Linked DNA regions of Rattus norvegicus. The protein of the gene in region 1 interacts with the protein of each later gene in a pairwise test. Links are inferred from orthologs where the notes say so. Each region holds a gene or a part of one and is shown on either strand. Other genes may lie near its edges.

What was found.
Region 2: the proteins of Moap1 (region 1) and Lats1 interact in a two-hybrid assay, tested with the Homo sapiens proteins (2 studies listed by BioGRID and IntAct). The two-hybrid records come from large-scale screens. The link is inferred for Rattus norvegicus from reciprocal best matches to the Homo sapiens genes MOAP1 and LATS1.
Region 3: the proteins of Moap1 (region 1) and Thoc1 interact in binary tests that used the Homo sapiens proteins (3 or more experiments, as listed by UniProt). The two-hybrid records come from large-scale screens. The link is inferred for Rattus norvegicus from reciprocal best matches to the Homo sapiens genes MOAP1 and THOC1.

What each region holds. Positions count from the first base shown.
Region 1 is NC_086024.1:127,646,816-127,650,900, forward strand, and holds Moap1 (modulator of apoptosis 1), read right to left. Parts: upstream 2,510-4,085; 5' UTR 2,371-2,509; intron 2,248-2,370; coding exon of another isoform or gene 2,225-2,247; 5' UTR 2,142-2,224; coding exon 1,083-2,141; 3' UTR 574-1,082; downstream 1-573. Other genes in the region: Lyset (lysosomal enzyme trafficking factor), read left to right, coding at 2,992-3,071, 3,461-3,872.
Region 2 is NC_086019.1:3,997,713-4,001,363, reverse strand, and holds part of Lats1 (serine/threonine-protein kinase LATS1), read right to left. Parts: intron 1,953-3,651; coding exon 439-1,952; intron 1-438. UniProt on the Homo sapiens protein: Negative regulator of YAP1 in the Hippo signaling pathway that plays a pivotal role in organ size control and tumor suppression by restricting proliferation and promoting apoptosis.
Region 3 is NC_086036.1:1,284,079-1,287,729, forward strand, and holds part of Thoc1 (THO complex subunit 1), read left to right. Parts: intron 1-1,008; coding exon 1,009-1,075; intron 1,076-1,271; coding exon 1,272-1,322; intron 1,323-1,406; coding exon 1,407-1,477; intron 1,478-1,747; coding exon 1,748-1,843; intron 1,844-2,413; coding exon 2,414-2,479; intron 2,480-3,651. UniProt on the Homo sapiens protein: Component of the THO subcomplex of the TREX complex which is thought to couple mRNA transcription, processing and nuclear export, and which specifically associates with spliced mRNA and not with unspliced pre-mRNA.

The DNA.
Region 1 (4,085 bases):
TTTTATTACTACCAGCTTCATTCATCTTGGACATACACCTATTTCCCCAGTGTGATTTTAGTTTCCCTATATGTAGAACTTTGTCTTTTGAGGCAAGGTCTCACCCTGTAGTTTGGGCTGGCTTTGAAAGGCCAATCTTCCTGACTTTGGCTTTACTTGTTAAGCAGTGGGATTATAGGTATATAGCACCAGGATTAGAAAAACATAAAATTCATCTTTCCTTTCTCCCTTTGAAATGAGTATTGATGGGCCCACTACTTGCCATAATCTGTGTAGTCTGGTTCCTGTCAAACAATCAAGTTACTACCCCCTAGGTACCAAGAGTCCAAAGAATTAAGCCTGTAACCTCAGTGGCTTTCAGATTCGTACTATAAAAGCTTCTCTCAGCCAGGTGCAGTGGTGCAAGCCTTTACCCAGCACTCAGGAGGCAGATCTGAGTTTGAGGCCAGCCAGATCTACAGAGTAAGTCTGCACAGCTAGGGCTACACAGAGAAACTCTGTCTCAAAAACAATTATTTTTTATCAAATGCATTATCTTGGAACCCCCAAGGTATACAAAGATCAAACATTTTATTATTAGCATTTCTTTATTTATACTATGACTCTAAGAAAATGACATTTAGAAGCAGACCCTTTGGCAACACATCAGATATATCACAAACCTAAAGATAGTTGTAGAATTGACCACAGCACTCAGTTGTGATTTTTGATTGCACAGAATCAATAACTGATTTATAATAAAGAAACTTTAAATAACTTAGCTAGCCTTGGCTCGGGGTCTTCAGCATAAATGTGGGCAACACCTGAAAATTATTTTTAACGGACAGCACCATCACATAAGACTATTAAACATGCATATAAACTCCAGCTTTGCAGAACACTGTACTAGATGACCTTTTGATTTAAATAATTACCAGTGTAGAATGACATCATTTGTATCAGTAAAACACTGGGGAGACATTCAGTGGGGTGAACAACACGACAAAGGGCAAGTTACTTTGGCAGCACAAAGGGGGATGGGCTGATCACTTCTATGAGCTCCTCCATCATGTTCTGCTCATGACAGCCTTGCTGGTCTTGGGTCAAGTGAAATGTCCTTCTAATTCGGCCTGAAGAAGGACCTCTTCCTCTGCTGCCTCCTTATCTTTTATCAGTGTCAGCAACTGCAATAAGCCTGGGGCAGGGCTACCTTCTGGCAGTCCAAGCTCTCTTCGAACTGACTTGTGGATTGCCCCAGCAATGACTTGGTCTAGTCGGGCCTGATTCACAACTTCTTTCTCAATTGCTCCTTTCTGCACCAGCTTCTGTAATAAAGGCTCCAACCTCAGAACATAGGCAGAGAGCTTTTCACCACTCTTCTGGTAAGTAGTAAGGTATCTGACCTGCAAGGCCCTAGGATTATCAATAATCCCAAATATTGTCTCAAGCGTCTTCAGGCATTCTGCAACGGTAATGAACGGGTTGTTTATCTTGAGGACTCGAATAATTTCGAATGCTGGGCCTCTAAGGCTCTCCATCAACCGCCTTCTTTTCTCTACATCTGACACCTGCCATGTTTTCATTACTTGGGAAGTATGAAACATCCAAGATTCAAATTCTTCCTCACCTGGTCCCGGAGGATCCCTGCCTGAGAACACACTCAGCTTTTTGTACCTCAGATACTGCAGGGTAGGCTTAAGAGCCTCATCTAATGCCTGTGCTAACATGGGTGCTCGAATTTCAGGGATCATCACATTCTGGTCTAGGCAGAGAGGGTCATTCCGATTCCCAAGAACTCTGGTTAATTCACCCATTGTCATGCCCTCTCCCTTTAAAAACTCATTTAATCTGCATAAAAAGTCACTATCAGCATCTGGAGGCTTAAAGATCACTCTCCAGACACCTCCTTTTGCAGGTATCTCCTTGGGGACTAGGGCACTGCCGGTCTCTACTGTGAGCCCAACCAAGGCTACATTCTTGTTCTCATCCCTCCTAAACATCCTCCCAAGCAGTCTGTGCTCCCCTAAGGGAGCAAGGCCAACCTGCAGGGCCTCCTCGATGTCTGCCACTCCGCAGGTCGGAGGGATGCCGGCAACCAACAGTGCCTTCCGAGGGTTCATGTCCATCCCCCTGCACCAGTCTTCTAAGAGTCTCAGTGTCATGGTGTCCAGGGTATTTAAATCCTAACTCGACCAGGGCACCGCCGCCGCCCCACCGCAGCTCAGAGATGTGCGTGCTCGTCTCTCTAATACGCAGAGGTCCAGGAGCCTGAGAAAACAGAGCATCCGTGTAAGTTAACGGTGCCTTGACTCCTGAGCAGTTCCTCTACCCACCCTCTGCGCTCATATACGAACCACATGAGGTCTGCAGACCACCTGCCTACAGACGCACCGCTCAGGCTCCGGAGAGGGCGTCTGACCTTTGCGGGCATCAGGAGACACCAGGGGATCACGTCCCCAATGCGGCGATGGAGGACACGGGCTCCCTACGCCCGTTTCCCCGCCATGGTAGGAGACCGCCACCGCCGCAAACGCCCCAGGGAGCAGACAACCGCCTCCGGAGGCGGCGCGAAGTAGACAGCCTGACGTCACGAGAGACTGGCGCGCGTTTCCGGCCCAAGACGGAAGCTCTGACTGCGGCGGTATCCGGGACTGCGAGCGGGCGGGCCACTCAGGACAGGAAGGTGAGACCCGGGTTGCTCAGCTTGGCTGTCAGGCTGGCCCGGCGTTTAGCCGGGAGCCGAGCTCCGGGCTCTGCAGGCCAGGCCTGGCACCACTGCCCAGCCCAGGCACGGCGGCGGGAGCTGTGGGGGGCGGGCCCGGAGGTCCCGTGGCCAGGCATCTCCAGGTGGTTTCCCCTGCCTGGAGATCCAGAGGGCGACCGGGCCCGCCGCCGCGTGACTAGCCGGAGTCACGCTGAGCTTAATCACTACTAGCTCGTGCTCCCGCCGGCCGCGCTCACCTTCTTCTTCTGCGCGACCGAGAGGGTTTCTCTTAAGTGGCTTGTTCTGAAATGCCAAAGGCACCTGACTATTCAGAACTGAGTGACTCTTGCACGCTTGCAGGGGGAACAGCAAGATTTTCGGGACCACTGTAAGTGTTTGAAAGAGTTACCGTCTTAACTTGGGGACTCCGACACTGGTTTAATGAGCAGAACCCAACCCAGTGCTCATGTCTGAAATAATAGTGTTAAGCCAGAAAGCATTTCAACTGTCAAGTGCAATGTCCTGTGGGGAAACTCGTTTTCATTATCTGAAAGTGTACTGGGTCTACTCAAGCAAGATGTGATGATTCATTCACTCTGGGGTTCTCATAAATAACAGTACTCAATATATACGGAAACCAGTATTTTTATGTGCTCACAATTGTTATATAAAACCACCTATAAGTTGTTTACAGATGTTAAATCAAGTGCACTTGGAATACTTGGTGTGGCACCATTACTAGACCCTAACTATAATTTTCCTGTGTTTACATTGAAGGCACAGAGCATGGAGAATGATGAACTTCCGTCAGCGGATGGGATGGATTGGAGTGGGATTGTATTTGCTAGCAAGTGCAGCAGCGTTTTATTATGTTTTTGAAATCAATGAGACTTACAACAGGTTGGCTTTGGAACACATTCAGCAGCACCCTGAGGAGCCAAGGGAAGGAACCACATGGACACACTCCTTGAAAGCTCGGTTACTTTCCCTGCCCTTCTGGTTGTGGACAGTTATTTTCTTGATACCGTACTTACAGATGTTTTTGTTCCTTTATTCTTGTACGAGAGCGGATCCTAAAACGGTGGGCTACTGTATTATTCCCATATGCTTGGCAATTATCTGCAATCGCCACCAGGCATTTGTCAAGGCTTCTAATCAGATCAGCAGACTCCAACTGATTGACACGTAAAACGAGTCACCGGTTTCTCTTATTACAAGACTGTCAGTGCTGTTTAGTGGCTGACCTAAGACTGCAGTTTCTTCACAGGTCTCGTCTCAGGAAGTTGTGGTGGAACAGAGACTTTAAAAAAAAAAGGGGGGGGGGGACAAGAGGACTGACTACTTTATCCGAATAATGACTTTTTAGGTAAAGCCTGAAACATAGTACTACAGAATCATGTTG
Region 2 (3,651 bases), on another chromosome or scaffold:
TGACTTGTGTATGTTGTAAAATAATGTATAAAATCTAGAACCTGTTGGATATTGGTAGCATATGCCTTTAATCCCAGCATTTGGGAGGCAGAGGCAGGTAAATCTATGTGAGTTAAAGTCCGGACTGATCTATAGAGTGAGTTCCAGGACAGCCAAGGGTACAAAGTAAAGCCCTGTCTTGGAGGAAAAAAAAAAAAAACAAAGTAAAAATTAAACCTCGTTTCAATTTCCATATTTCATATACTTTATATATATATATATAATTTAAAAGTTCTATAAGAAATGCTGAATAATCACTGAAAATGCTATCATCAAAATTCTCCCAGTTTACTCACATTATTGACAATACACTACATTTACTACAAGAACACTGGAGCCTAGGATTTTAAAATACCAAGGCACGAGATGATTAAGTGTGAGAATATTTTAAAGTTTTACCCGCATCATTTCATTCTCTAGTTGCTTCTTGCGATGCAGACGCTGCTGATGAGACTTCAGGACGTTCTCTACGTGTTGCTCCATGAAGAATTTAAAGGCCTGCGGGGAGTAACTCTGAATGCGAGACTCTCTTCGCTCTTCGTCTTTCTTGTTTTTCCGAACAGTGATAGGTGAAGTTGTAATCTGTTTCTTCTCTTTATCCCCAGAGTCAACACTGTCCAAACTCTTTTCACTATCCTCTTCCTTGGCTGAGCTAGGCTGATCGTCTTTGCAGGGTTTACTCGCTGACTCATATGGAGGAACAGATGGGGTTTGGTGTAGCAGATGTTTTGGATAAGGTGGTGGTGGGCCCTGATAGCTTGGAGCTTCCGCCACAGGTGGGATGACTGGCACGTTTGAAGCTGCACCCTCAGAAAAAGGGCTAGGCTGAACGGTCTGAACTGGCTGTGGCATCCAAGAAGGATGGGTTGGGGCTAAGGCAGTCTGCAGCTCTGGTTTCAGAACGCGCATGCTTTTCACGGGCTGCTGAATAGGAGCTGGTGTGATGGCAGTAACTGTCGTGGCGGAAGGCTGAGAATTAGCAGAGTGACTTGCTCTACTTCCTAGTGGGTTATTAAAAGAATTTGACCTCACTGGTATGTTAGGTTGCCACGTAGGAATTTCATGCCCACTGCTTGGAGATGATTGCACAGGGGCAGAAGACGACTGGGGCCAAGTTGTTTGCAGTCCAGGGACATTGATATTATACAGCTCCATGTTATGACTGTTCCTGTTCGGCACCATCATCGTTGGAGGAACATTTCCATTGGAGAATGATGGTGGAGCAGCAGGACCGCCTGCTTGCAAAGCAGAAGGGCTTTGTCCATTAGCTGGGGTCAGAGGATATGGTGGTGGTGGTTGCCGATTCACAGCACCAGTGGGGACAACATTTTGGTGCATGATAAAATCAGTCTGACCACCACCATTCTGAACTCCAGGTCTCCCTGGTGTAAAGTTAAATTTGCTAGTACTTTGCATGATGATTGGTTGCCTGCCAACTGGAACAGAACTGATGCCTCTCTGTCCCTGGTTGGGGGGATTCATGGGGGAAGTGTTAAGAGGTGGTGGAGGGTAGCCCTCCTGCCACGCCCCAGGTGGAACAGGAGAGATTCGGGAGATTACATATTCCATGTTCCCAGAGTAGCGCTTTGTCTGAGAGTTAGGCTCCCACGAGGGGGGAGGGGGAGTTGTGCCTCGTGGAGGTGGGGTCTGCCCTCGTGGAGGTGGTGGAGGAGTAACACTCCTAACTTGAGGTGGTGGTGGTGGGTTCACTCTCTGTCCATTGCTTGGGTGAGCTTGAGCAAATGCCGTAATGCCGGATCCAGACAGAGGTCTTCCTACATCCGCCTGTGAGTTGGGACTTTCAGATCGATAAACCACATTTTCTCCTAGAGATGGACCGTGTCTCTGAGGAACTAAAGACTCTTTAGAACCTTTCCAGCTTTGTTTTCGGCTAATTGAATGTTGCACATTTCCTATGATTAAAAAAGAGAGAATAGTCATGTTTTTAACCTCTCCTTTAAAAATAATTTATCTCAGAATTCCAATACTAATGATACTCAAGTTTAAAACTGTAGAAAGGGGTTAAGTCAAGAGATAAACATTACAACATGTAGACTGTATAAACAGTGTATTCTTGGGCTGGAGAAATGGCTCAAGGTTAGGAGTGCCTGCTGTTCTTATAGAGGACCTATGTACAGTTCCCACCACCAACATGGCAGCTCACAATGGTAACTTCGGCTCCTGGGGATCCAACACCCTCTTGAGCTTCACAGGCACTAGGTGCCTAAGTGCATGAGAAGCAGAGGCAGGGGGACCTCAAATTCAAGGCCAAACTAGTCTACACAGAGTTCCAAGACAGCCAGAGCTGCATAGTGAGACCCTGTGTCTCTATAATTCATGATGAACTAGAAACTGAAGAAACCCGAGATCTTCCCCCACCGACAGTGTGATTTGAACTATTCTCTTTAATGTCTTCAGTCTGTCCTAAGAAAAACATCTCTGAAGAGTTGTCACACTTTTGCTTCTTATCAGTTCCAGCTATAATTATGGTCCGATGAATGGATAGCAATAAATCATTCAAGCGTTATGTGCCAAATTGTACCTACTCCAAAATCATTCAGTATTCTGAAGTCCTAATGCTGCTACCTGTCCCTGACATGAGTAACACATGAATAAATTTTGCTTGTAAGGTTAAACGATATTGCATTGTGTTGAACTAAAGGGAAAAAAAGTATTCTCTTGTAAGTCAATGGCAGAGAGAAACATGACTGAAAACAGCTCTAAGTACAACATATACTTACTAGTATGTGTAAGACCTCAAATTCAATTTCCAACACCAAAAACCAAACTACAAACCCCACAAAAAATACTAAACAGGGGAAATGGCTTAGTTGGCAGAGTGCTTGTAATAGCACCCATTTAAAAGCTGGGTGATGCACAGGAACCTATAAACTGAGCACTGGGGAGATGGAAATAAAAGAAAGATGCATGGGGATTGCTGCCCAGTCAGTCAAGTGAAATTCGTGAACTTAAAGTTTAGTAAGAGACATTGTCATGAAATACAGGGTGAAGAGCAACTTAGGAAGATACCTGACTGTCACCTCTGGCCTCCAAACACATGTGCAACTACACATTACCACAAATACATACATGTGTCTAAACGCACGCACACACCAAGACAAAGCCATTGAACAAATTCTCGATAGTGTTCAAAGCAATGTGAACATAAAATGAGATAGAGCAGGACATGATGGTGCACATCGTTAATCCAGCACTTGAAGGCTGAGATACATGAATTTCTAAAGTTTGAGGCCAGTCTATTCTAAATAGTAAGTTCCAGGACAGCCAAGTCTTCAAAGTAGATAGATAGGTAGATAAGCAGGCAGGCAGGCAGGCAGGCAGACAGATGGACAGAGGTGAAGAGCTCTTGGAGCTGCTTCTAGAAATTTGGCAAGAATTTGACATTTGGCTAGGACAAGGAAGTAGGCTCAAGATGAATATAGCTGAGAAATATGTTCTTTGTTAAGACCCTGAGTACAGCAATCATGGGACCTTTGTTTATGCTTTGTTTGTTCCTAAACTACTCTGTTCTACTCTGTTTATGCCTTAGGAATGACCATATTCTTTGTATGTACCTAGAATGATATAAAAGTAGACTGGAGAAAAATAAAC
Region 3 (3,651 bases), on another chromosome or scaffold:
GGCACTTGAGGAATAACACTCAGGATTGACCTCGGCCCCCATACACTACGCCCTACACACTGTTCTGCTGTTTTAGGTTTTCACGCAGCCTCGTCAGGATCTCTTGTGTCTAAGCCCTGCCAACAGAAAGCATACCATTTGTTCTTTTCTTCCGTAATTGAAGCCAGAGCCTGTTGCTTGTACACAAATCGATGCATAAAGGGCATGGCATTGTTGCCTGCCGGATCAATAGTCCCATGTCAGCACTTGTGCAGCTCCTTCAGAACTGTCGTCAAGTGGCACATGATACCCACCCAAAAAATGTAATTTTTTATTTTTCTATTTCAAAGTTTAGTGTAGTGTGATGTAGAAAGATCAAGGACTTGAAATCATACATAGGTTGAATTCAAGCTTTGGGCTTTAGGGAAGTCACTAGATCACTGTATTCTCTTTAATATGTGCATGAAATGGTTCTGCAGATTCAGATGACAGTGCTAGCTGTCTTTGTTGATGGCTTTGAAGCAATTAGTGGATAGTTAATGGGAGCTGTTAACAATTTTGAGTTTTGCCAATATTCTTTTCCATTACATTTTGAGTCCGTTTTAAAGGAAAATATAACATGTCTATATGAATATGTATCATATAGAACATTATGTTAATGTTTTCTCGGATTTTTTTTTCTTTTTTTTTCTTTTCGGAGCTGGGGACCGAACCCAGGGCCTTGTGCTTGCTAGGCAAGTGCTCTACCACTGAGCTAAATCCCCAACCCCGTTTTCTCAGATTTTTATCTCTGTTAAATGTATGAAATATTTATTACTCTGTGGTCAGAACAGTTAATTGAATGTCTTATTTGCCTTTATATTTTCATGACTTCAATTTTAACACCTGACCATGAAATGTAAGAATTTTCTCAATATTCCCCGTATTTGTCATGGTTCTTGGTAATTTTCCACACAGTGTGGTTAAGGTGCCATGAATAGCCTCAACATGAAAATACTATAACACAGAATGCATTTGTTCTTTCCCTAGTTCAAATTATGTTTTAACTGATGAGCAATCACTCTGGATTGAAGATACTACCAAGTCAGTCTACCAAGTAAGTCCAACATGCAACAACCCATGATTGAAAAAATGGAAATTTAGAATTTTCTTTGTTTCAGCCCCAAATAGGAAAATAAGGATAAAGTTAAGCTCAGGTACAAGAACACAAACACTTCTTGGTTCTCTGCCTACAAACCACTCCTATGATGCAGAAAGTTGTTGAAACCTTAGTATATTCTTTCTAATCACAGCTGCTATCTGAAAATCCCCCTGATGGAGAAAGATTTTCAAAGATGGTAGAGGTATGTATTTGATCATTAGTTTTCTTATTACTGAATTATGATTTCAAAATATTGTTATGCAGAGATGTCTCTTGTTTATCCTAGCATATATTAAACACTGAAGAAAATTGGAACTCATGGAAAAATGAAGGTTGCCCAAGTTTTGTGAAAGAAAGGTAATAAGTTGATTGAACACAGGATAAGTTGGTGTTATTGAAAATGCTGTGTCTGTTTGCCCTACAATGCAGTTATTTTGTCTTCTGTCTGATAAGTGTTCTATCATACTATGAAGCATTTATATTTTAGGGTAAAAGAAATACTTAGCTCCCAAAACTTACAGTTTTGCTGTAAGTAGAATTAAATAAATACAGGAGCTTGTGCACATTAGGCAAATGCTTAACACACATCCATATACAGTCCCCAGAATATGAATGTTTTGTTCACAGAGCATCAGATACCAAGCCCACAAGAGTGGTACGGAAGAGAGCAGCCCCAGAAGACTTCTTAGGCAAAGGGCCCAATAAGAAAATCCTGATTGGAAAGTATGTTACTCATTTTCCTATGTTCTTGATTGCTATTTGAAAATATTATGAATAGAACTCTCCAGTTTGGCTGAGGAGATAGCTCAGCTGTTAAGGCTAGGCTCATAACCAAAAAGACAGAAACTCTGTACATGAACTTGTATTTTGTGTGTGTGTGTGTGTGTGTGTGTGTGTGTGTGTGTGTAACTAAAGCTAACCATAGCCCGTTGCTCAAAACTGTCATTATGTGAATTCATGTAACTACTTAAGCCTTCCTGTTGTCTCCCACTTTGAAAGCCCTTGGCTTTAGGCTCTGCCATCTTTTCTGTGTCATGGACAGTACAACTGTCTGGGCCAGTGCAGTTCACTTATATTTACTGAAAGGGTACTGATCATTCAGGTCTGTCACCTTTCAGTTAATCCTCCATTCTTCATTATTATTGAATAGTTTCTGAGAAATGGTTATAATTATATACTTACATAGAAATGACTATCACCACCCCCAGACCCACTACTTATGTTACATATGCAGTTTTATGACATACTGTGAGGATGCTATCAATACAAAATTATGTCTGCCTTATTTTGTAGTGAGGAGCTAACAAGGCTTTGGAATCTCTGTCCTGATAACATGGAAGCCTGTAAATCAGAGACAAGGCAAGTGTAAAACTTTTATTAGTTTTCTCAATGTTCAGTGAAGTATAATAAAATCTTTCCTTAGGAATGATCAAAGCTTAAAAGTTTATTGTGGTTAAATTTGGGCCTGGCAGAATATGGTTTACTTTAAAACACTTAAAAATGCTGATAAATTTTTAGAAATCATAAAAAAATAAAAGTTTCACAAAGAAATGGGAACTCAACACCAAAAGAGTAACTTAGTTAGGGTTGACTTGGTATTCCAAGAGAGTAAGCAGTGAGGTGGTCCAGTCTCACAGAGATACTCACAGAGATACGCAGAGATGCAGGAGACGAGCCTAGGTTTGGTCTCCTGACTTAGGAGACGCCGCCCGCAAAGGAAGGGAAGCAGCGGAAGGCAAGAGCAGGACACACTTCCCTGGAAGTGGAAATGGAAACCTTTGGTTTCCTGAGAAACAAGAACATGTCATGTAGCTCACATTTCCAGGACCAGCCGCAATTGGGAACCCAAAGCTAAAATTGTCAGCTAGGAAATCGTAGGCTGGTGGTAAAACCTGTCTGAAGGTCAGACCTCCAGATGGAGCTCTTAACACAGGGAAAAGCCTAAAAAACTTATCATCCAAATTTACAGTCAAGGAAACAATCTACCATGAGTTTCATAAAGAATCAAAAGAGATGGCTCAGTGGTTAATAATGCTGGCTGTTCTTCCAGAGGACCCGAGATCTATTCATCACACTCATTCTCTCCAGTCCTAGGGGATCCAACACCCTCTTCTGGCACCAAGGACACAAGTGGTACACAGATGTACATGAAGACAAAATACTCATACATACTCATAAATAAGTAAATAAAGCTAGAATCAGGTAAAGGCTGTAGAGTTATTTTTCAGATAATTAAGAAGTAGCAGCTAAAAACAAGAAAAACTTGGCACTGTCAAAAAGACCAGATAATCAGATGTGGTGGTAGCTCATTACTGTAATCCCATCAGCTGGAGACTTGTTAAAAAATAATACAATACAGAGTTGAGCAAAAACCCAGCAGAGAGAACACATGGGTGTGAAAGAAGCACTGCTTAAGATCAGGACGAAATAGTCATAATTCATAAATTTCGTTCAAGATGTCTATGTATGTGAAAAATGAAGGATGAATGAAAAGAGAAAACAGGTTACAAAAGTAAAATTAAACTAACAGC